Linked DNA regions of Arabidopsis thaliana. The protein of the gene in region 2 interacts with the protein of the main gene of each other region in a pairwise test. Each region holds a gene or a part of one and is shown on either strand. Other genes may lie near its edges.

Region 1 (5,399 bases), on a different chromosome or scaffold from region 2:
ATTTGATTCAATCTTTAGTTACTCCAATGACATACCACGCATATGCGTAATGTGTATTTATGGTTAAAATTACATCACATGAGAGTATCGGACAATTTACAAAAATGTATACGAGGTAGTGTATAAGACGGTGTATGGGATAATTCATATGGTTCAGTACAAAATAATATACTAGGCTGTGTGCGTGAAGGGATGTATGAGATGGTATAAACAGAGGTGTATAAGATGATGTACAAGGCCGTGTACAAGATAATGTGAGATTATGTAAAAGATAGTATACAAGATGGTGTGTTTAACTCTGTACAAGTGGTGTTTAATACTGTGTAAGGGATGGTATATGAGACAATGTATAAATCAATGTACAAGATGAGACGAGCTGTGAAATTTATGTATTTACTCTAAGATCCATGAGAGTTTCTTCTTCATGTCTCAGGTGAGGAGGTTGGCGAAAGGAAGGTTAGGAAAAGTGAAGATAAATTTGATTTTGTTACAAAAGTCAAAAACATTTGCCTATATAACTTAAATATGGAGCCCATTATCATTATTCGTAGTTAGTAGAGCTTGTTCACGTTTATGTTACGATCTTGTATTGATAGAAGAATGTTTTCACTTGTCTTCGACTGAATCAGTGTTGCCTTCTCTCAGGTTATATCTTTCGTCTATGCTTTCGTCAAAGCAAAAAATCCCTAAATTAGATGAATTTTATGCCTTGACTCAAGGCATAAATTCATCAAATGTGGTATATAGAGCGTATTTAGCTTCATATATACTATTGAGTTTCCAGAGTCGTACGAGCGCTATCAAGTATCAGAAGCGAATAAAAATAAAATATCCTTACGAAAAAAAAAATCGTCTACAAAAAATAAACATCATTGTCATGTAAGAAAAAGAAAATTGACAAACTAAATATTAGTTCTTAAACAGTTGTTGACCCTTCCTCTCCACTAAATCGTTAACCAAGCTTTCAAAATCAATGTCTCTAACCAATTCTCTTTCGATTGATAATATAGCCAACTCACTCAATCTTTCTTGTGACATAGTCGACCGAAGATACGATTTGATCAACTTCAGCTTTGAAAAACTTCTTTAAGCAGATGCAACCGAAACTGGAATCGTCAACATTGTTCCTATAAAGCAATGGTACCTTCAATATGAGACAAAAATTATATATTAAATCTGCTTTGAAAGCAAAGTGAAATTTTTGTCTCCAATTATAAAGTAACATAACTATTCTAATGAGCTTTTGCTATTTGGATCTAATGTTATCATATTATTACCTCTACAACGTTCATCCTTTTCTAGCGCTTGTTGTTGTTCATCTTTTGCATGCGGATCATATATGCGTGTAATCTGGTCGTTGTCAAATTTTTATTAATTAGCATTTCAAGCCATTGCCATTGTCAACGAATATTCAGTATTTATTAGAAAAATCAACAGAAATTTAATATCTATTTAGTTTTGTTGAAATTTAAAGATATAAATCAATATTTACTATAAATTTAATTTTAGTAATATTTTTCCGATTTAGATTTTGTTATTCCCGTTTTTTTATATTGATCAGTTTTAGCGTTTTTTAGCGGTGAACAGTAGACTCAACTCGGATTGGACTAGACGGGCGATCCCGGTAGAACAGGTCCGAACGCCCGGTCTGGTTCCCAAACACTGCAATTACCGCATCTTGTGTTGTGGACCGGACCGACTATGACTGAATATTGCATTCATTTTGATCCTAAAAATGTCAATCAATGCTCATTTATTTATTATATATTTTGGAAAAAAGTGAGAAAAAACTGAAACGGTGCGACGTTATTAAATCTTTTAAATCCCCCCACCAAAGCATCTGCTTCTTCCTCTTGTCTCTCTCTCTCTCTCTCTCTCTTTCATCTTCAAACTCTACAAACCCAGAAACCACCACACAGTAATTAATGTCTCTTTCTTTCTTCCCATGTGATCTTTAACAGACTTTTCTTCTTATTCTCCATCTCTGAAGTTGTGGGGATTCATCAAGACTTCCTTATCTGTTTCTTTTATAAAACAAGAGAGAGATACCACTTTTGGTGTTCTTTATTTGCAACTCTTTCAGGCAAACACTCTTTGTCTCTTTTCTTATCTTATTATTGTTTCTATTTTTTGTTGATAATACTTTCGATTTTTTTTGGCTCTCTGTTCTTTCTAGATCGTTTGGTTTTATTGTCTATAATATTCATTTTGACAATCTATGTATTGATATGAGAACATTACTTCTTAGTCTCTTTAGTTTTTTTTTTTGTTTTTGACCCTTAAGCTTGATTTGTTGTTTTTAGCTTCTGGTGATTTGTTTGATCAAAGAAAGCTTATAAGTTTTTTTTTCTTTTTCAGGTTAAAGAAATCGATAGGCTCTGTTCTTGATTGTGGTGGAAGAGACATGATGATGTTTAACGAGATGGGAATGTATGGAAACATGGATTTCTTCTCTTCCTCCACATCTCTCGATGTGTGTCCATTACCACAAGCTGAACAAGAACCTGTAGTTGAAGATGTCGACTACACCGATGATGAGATGGATGTGGATGAGCTTGAGAAGAGGATGTGGAGAGACAAAATGCGTTTGAAACGTCTCAAGGAGCAACAGAGTAAGTGTAAAGAAGGCGTCGATGGTTCGAAACAGAGGCAGTCGCAAGAGCAAGCTAGGAGGAAGAAAATGTCTAGAGCCCAAGATGGGATCTTGAAGTATATGTTGAAGATGATGGAAGTTTGTAAAGCTCAAGGCTTTGTTTATGGTATTATTCCTGAGAAGGGTAAGCCTGTGACTGGTGCTTCGGATAATTTGAGGGAATGGTGGAAAGATAAGGTTAGGTTTGATCGTAATGGTCCAGCTGCTATTGCTAAGTATCAGTCAGAGAATAATATTTCTGGAGGGAGTAATGATTGTAACAGCTTGGTTGGTCCAACACCGCATACGCTTCAGGAGCTTCAGGACACGACTCTTGGTTCGCTTTTATCGGCTTTGATGCAACATTGTGATCCACCGCAGAGACGGTTTCCTTTGGAGAAAGGAGTTTCTCCACCTTGGTGGCCTAATGGGAATGAAGAGTGGTGGCCTCAGCTTGGTTTACCAAATGAGCAAGGTCCTCCTCCTTATAAGAAGCCTCATGATTTGAAGAAAGCTTGGAAAGTCGGTGTTTTAACTGCGGTGATCAAGCATATGTCGCCGGATATTGCGAAGATCCGTAAGCTTGTGAGGCAATCAAAATGCTTGCAGGATAAGATGACGGCGAAAGAGAGTGCTACTTGGCTTGCCATTATTAACCAAGAAGAGGTTGTGGCTCGGGAGCTTTATCCCGAGTCATGCCCTCCTCTTTCTTCTTCTTCATCATTAGGAAGCGGGTCGCTTCTCATTAATGATTGTAGCGAGTATGACGTTGAAGGTTTCGAGAAGGAACAACATGGTTTCGATGTGGAAGAGCGGAAACCAGAGATAGTGATGATGCATCCTCTAGCAAGCTTTGGGGTTGCTAAAATGCAACATTTTCCCATAAAGGAGGAGGTCGCCACCACGGTAAACTTAGAGTTCACGAGAAAGAGGAAGCAGAACAATGATATGAATGTTATGGTAATGGACAGATCAGCAGGTTACACTTGTGAGAATGGTCAGTGTCCTCACAGCAAAATGAATCTTGGATTTCAAGACAGGAGTTCAAGGGACAACCACCAGATGGTTTGTCCATATAGAGACAATCGTTTAGCGTATGGAGCATCCAAGTTTCATATGGGTGGAATGAAACTAGTAGTTCCTCAGCAACCAGTCCAACCGATCGACCTATCGGGCGTTGGAGTTCCGGAAAACGGGCAGAAGATGATCACCGAGCTTATGGCCATGTACGACAGAAATGTCCAAAGCAACCAAACGCCTCCTACTTTGATGGAAAACCAAAGCATGGTCATTGATGCAAAAGCAGCTCAGAATCAGCAGCTGAATTTCAACAGTGGCAATCAAATGTTTATGCAACAAGGGACGAACAACGGGGTTAACAATCGGTTCCAGATGGTGTTTGATTCGACACCATTCGATATGGCAGCATTCGATTACAGAGATGATTGGCAAACCGGAGCAATGGAAGGAATGGGGAAGCAGCAGCAGCAGCAGCAGCAGCAGCAAGATGTATCAATATGGTTCTGAATATTACACAATCTCTGTAACATTCATTCTTTCATAATAACTCTGTTACCTACTTACCTGACTTGGGTATGTATTCTATTGGCACCAAACACTCATCTATATTGTTGATGATGATGAAGCCATCTATTTTTTTTGTGTCTGAAAGTCATTTAACTCGCTTCATTGTTTTAATAATGTCACTATCCATTGAACATCATTCTCATGCTACAAGTTTGATTCTTTGAGTTCTATTTTTTAATCTTTGGGTTTAACCGTATAAGTTCAAGTAGCCAGCATAACAATCATGAAACAATATGGAACTCTTCTCTTTTTTCTCTTTTTCTTTTAAGTGTTAAGTCTGTCATTTTTGTTGGTTGTTCTCTAGTCAACTCAATTCAATAATCAATATCATAAGAAAAACACATGGCTTAGCCATATTTATAGGGTTATAAAAAGCATTTATCTTATAATATAAGTTATCTTCTTTGCTTTCATGTAGAAAGTATATTCTCTTATAATTTGTTTGGTCAAACACAATTGAATAATATAGTAACAGGTTGCCAACAATTGCATCAGTGTCGGCTACTGTGGCTTCTTCTTCACCACTGGCAAATTCTAATGTAACTTTTTTTATCCACATTGTAATCCAAAACGGATATTTATATAATAATAAGGTGAAAAAAGCCAAAAATGGTGAGAGTGTTTTTGGGAGGAAGAGAAGACAAACGTTGTTGTCTCCTTTATTTTGGAATTGGAGGACAGGCCATGTGATATGCGTTGTGAAACCCCACCACTCTTTTAGTCTCTTCATCGCCAAAACTGACTACATTCATGCACCCATTTTTTGGTTCTTTATTATTCTTATATTCTGAACATAATATATAGTAATGCAAAGATATAATTGCCAGTTTTAACTTAGTAATTTTTTGGTATGATTTTTTATTTTAATATAAAAAAGTAACGTAGTAATTTATGTAAGTGTCGTGACTATGCATCATTCACATTTAATTCTTATAGTATATGACTATTTTATTTTGTCATTTTATTATTCTTAAACAAAAAATGTTTTGATATGTTCTAAATTTCCAATTCACCAAGATAAGTTATGGATCTATCAATTTTCAATAATTTACTTAATAGGTTTTGTCACAATTTCATTCATATAATCTGAATTTTCAGTAGTGAGAATGATGATAAACGGATTCGGAAAAAAGAAATATGATGAGAAAAGTGGATGTCAAAAAAATATTTTCAGTTACTA
Region 2 (4,148 bases):
GTTGCTACAGACAAGCGGGATGGGCAACAAATGCAGTGCTATACAAACTACGAAAAGAGGATACATCTCAACTTATCTGATGAGTACAACAAATTTGAGTTAAGATGATTTGAAGAAGGCCATGAAGCAAAACTATCTGCTGGGTATGTCTTGAATCGCTTCCCCTAAACTGTAATCTTATCAAACCGCTGAAATTGTGATGTTTTAGGTTGCTAAACAGTATTGTAGGGATGAGTTGATTCAATTTCCTTGAGATTGGCTGTTTTGAGATGTTGGATTCCTTGTTGATTTTCCAGGTATGAACATGTAAAAGCTCCAGACTCCTTGAGTCTCGTAGAAGTGACGACGCAACTTCTTTCTTCTTATATGTCTAGAAATGGATCAAACACTGGACTAAGAATCCGGAAATCGTATCGCAAAACGAATCAAAACGATGAAAGTTTTAGTCTCTTATACATCTGTGATTATTGAGCTAATAAAACAACTTGATACGAAACAATCATGGGACGTCAATGATAGTTTAGTTGATGGATCTGTTTGTAAAAATCAAATATTGACTCTCTTTGCGTCTTGATTCTGTGAATATACACATCTTGTCTCTATAGCTATTCGGTTTAGCAAAAGCAGGATTGGTAGCGCCGTAACAATGGAACCAAGTAACATCTAAATAGTAAATAAGTTAAATGATATTGAAGATGAGAATTTGTAGCAAAGATGATGTGAGAGACTCTACAGTAGCAACCAAATGTGTGTATGAAGGAAAAACAAGTCAGACCAAAACAATAGTCTACACTCTCCATGTGAAATCATACAGGACTCAAGATAATCCTCATGACAGAAGTAAAGGAAGAAAAAACCCGCAAGGGTGAAATTTGGTAACCGAACAAAAACCGCTTTGAAGGAGGCACAAGTGAAGGAAGCTTAAGCTGGCTTTTATTCTCCAGGGACAGGGACTCCTTGCTTTAGCTTCTCCCGCTTGAGCTTCTTTTTGGAAACGGGCTTCTTCTTCCTTGGAGGTAGGTTCTTCTGAGCATAAACGTAAAGCACGTAGTTGGCGATTAGGAACACAAGAAGCGGACCTCCAACAACAAGCAGCACGATTAATCCCGGGTTCAATCCCTTGGCTTCAGCAGCCGCCTATGAAATTCAGACCAATGTATGCATAAATGATACCAAACATAGAAAACAACAATCTAGGACCAAGCAAACATGTATACTGAATGAGATTATTGCAAAGCGTGCAATGTTGTCCAGCAATGCATGCAAATGATTATTTTTTTCTATTCCTCTAAAAAGCTAAGACATCACATAATTTCCTTAGATCATTAACAAAATAGCCCACAAATCACGAATCCAACCCTTAAGAAATCGATTGCACATTCCGGGATCGCAGAAGAGGAGCTATTATGGTAAAATCATCTCGATTTCAACGGAGATACCGTTAAATTCTACAAAAGGTGAAAGTATAGAGAAGATTGACGGTACCTTTCCGGCAAAATCTTCGCCGTCCATGATTACGATCCAAAATATACGTGAGATCAGCTCCAGTAACGTACTAATGGTAGGAAGAGAGGAGGAAAGGAAACGAGGATCTGTTTTCGACACAGAGATTAATAAGACGCAAACAAACTCACACAGAGATAATATACACACGTGTTTTATCCACTACATCGCCACTTTCACTAATCCATAAATATTATTTTGGACCCCTTACTTTTTAGGTATTTCGATTTCAATCCGTATCTTTTGTTTTGCTAGGTTAGGCCCGTATTATATCTACCAAAACTAAGGTTGTTTGATCTGGTTTTAGTTCAGCTTGGGTATGGATTGGTTTGTCCCGATGTTTTAATGGCTTTCTAAGAAACCAATTTTGTGTTCTTATCTTACATACATTGAAATAACAAAAATGAATTGAATATTACAAAAATCAAATAATCAAACACACAAAACACATCTGTTTGGTTCAACTCCAATATATCTATACCAAATGGTCATCGTCGCTTCGAATGATAACGTTATGTTCGGGCACCGACCACGAAGACGATCGACTAGAGTTCAAAGCCACGGTATTACAATCAGAGAGAGTATCTTGCAAACTCAGCAACAAATGCGAAGTGCTAAAACTCATGGTGGGTCTAGACTTAGGCACAACCGGTACATCAGCCTCACCAATCAGCATTTGCACCACTGACCTCATAGTGGGCCTAAATGCTGGATCCGGATGCGAACAAGCCAAGCCCACAACCAAGACCCGCCACATCTCACCTTCATCAAACTTACCTTCAAGCCTAGAATCAGCAGCTGCAGAAACTTTCCCTTCTTTATACAAACCCCACACCCATTCTACTAAATTCGGATTCACCCCAACATTATGTCTTTGCACATTTAAGTCCTTCTCAATCGGTCTTCTTCCACTAACCACTTCCAAAACCACCGCTCCGTAACTAAACACATCCGTCTTCTCCGAAGCACGACCCGTCAGAAGATACTCCGGCGCTAAATATCCCATCGTCCCGGCGGCAACAGTTGCTTCCGGCGACTTATCATGCTCAATCTGTCTCGCCAATCCGAAATCTCCAAGCTTGGCATTAAAACTCTCATCTAACATTATATTACTACTCTTAACATCTCTATGAATCACCTGATTCTCACACTCTCTATGTAAATAAGCTAAAGCAGATGCAACACCAAGCAAGATCTTTTTCCGATGATCCCACGGTAACGTGAATCGTGACTCAAACAAAGCTTTATCAAGCGAACCATTAGGCATTAGATCGTAGACTAACAAAATCTCACCTTTCTCGTGACACCATCCTTGTAATCTCACGAGGTTTCTGTGTCTTAAGCTTCCGATTATTGATAGTTCAGATAAAAACTCGTTCTTTTTGTCTTGTGAGCTATGGCTGCATCGTTTGACGGCGACGATGTCTCCGGTCTCCGGTAATATTCCTCTGTATACGACTCCGAAGGCTCCATGTCCGATGATACGACTCTCGTTGAAGTTCTTTGTGCCGGCTTTGAGTTCTTTATAGCTGAACTCTTTCGGAGCTTTGATGATTTCAGATGCGAATGAATCAGATCTCTCGACACGTTTGAACTTTTTGGAGTAAACCCAGAATAAAGCTCCGGCGAATAGTGCTAAGAAGAAAGCTCCGGCGGTTACTACTCCGGCGATTGTTCCGGGATTCTCTTTGCAGAAACGGCTGTGGCAAGACGACGACGACGAAGTTTTTAATTGAGTGTTGCTTGAGATCGGAATCGCTGAAGACGACGGTTGTGACGCCAACGGCGGCGGAGATTTCACCGAATTAGCTTTCGGATTCATCAAATTAGCCCGAGGAGGAGGTGACCCGGATCCGGATCCGAGACTCGACCCGAATGATGAACTGAAGCTCCACCATTCGATACTGTGAATCTCTGTACTTCCCTGAGTTGACCCGGAGAATCCAACGAACATGAAATCGTTCACGTATCGATCTAAATCGAGAGGGAAAGACAAAATTGGAACTTTCGGTTTCAGATTTGAGTAAGAGACTGATACGTTGAAGACCCGAGTCAATCCGTCGTATTCGATCCATGAATTGATGGTGTTGCCGCTCTTGAGATCGATGTTTACGGTGCCAAGATCACCGGAAACAGAGGAAACTACGCCATTTACGTCGAATCCAACATGGTTACTGTTAATGTCCTTGAAATCTACATCCATTAAAGTATCGAATTCGACGGCGACAAATTTTGAACCGGAACCGTTTGGACCGGTTAGACCAAGAGAGCCACCAGCGATGCCGATTGAGTTTGCGTCGGGAGAGATGACGAAAGCGAGACCACCGCCGATGGAAGAAGGGTTGACATTGGTTATAGAGAAGGAGAAAAAAGAAGAGAAGCTTGTCGGAAAGTGAGTTCCAGGTTGTCGGAATCTGATTGGGTTAGAGTATAAGACTTTTCCGGCGCCGGAATTAGGTACAGAGAGGTCACGTGTGAGGCCAACGATTCCATTGCTTAAACGTGCATCACCGAGGAGTTTGAGGTTGCTTATGGCTAGCGTGGAGAAATCAAACTGTGTCGTCGTAGCTCCATTGAAGAAACAGAGCAAGATTGAAATGAAGAAGGAGAGAAAGAGAGACATTAATGATCAGTTGAAGAAATGT

What was found. Proteins that work in one complex are often made in the same cells at the same time.
Region 1: the proteins of AT3G53370 (region 2) and EIL1 interact in a two-hybrid assay, tested with the Arabidopsis thaliana proteins (one large-scale study listed by BioGRID).

The regions. Positions count from the first base shown.
Region 1 is NC_003071.7:11,543,910-11,549,308, forward strand, and holds EIL1 (ETHYLENE-INSENSITIVE3-like 1), read left to right. Parts: upstream 1-1,746; 5' UTR 1,747-2,083; intron 2,084-2,358; 5' UTR 2,359-2,404; coding exon 2,405-4,159; 3' UTR 4,160-4,384; downstream 4,385-5,399. UniProt on the Arabidopsis thaliana protein: Probable transcription factor acting as a positive regulator in the ethylene response pathway. Could bind the primary ethylene response element present in the ETHYLENE-RESPONSE-FACTOR1 promoter.
Region 2 is NC_003074.8:19,787,226-19,791,373, forward strand, and holds AT3G53370 (S1FA-like DNA-binding protein), read right to left. Parts: upstream 1,683-4,148; 5' UTR 1,513-1,682; coding exon 1,486-1,512; intron 1,138-1,485; coding exon 934-1,137; 3' UTR 627-933; downstream 1-626. Other genes in the region: AT3G53380 (Concanavalin A-like lectin protein kinase family protein), read right to left, coding at 1,979-4,126.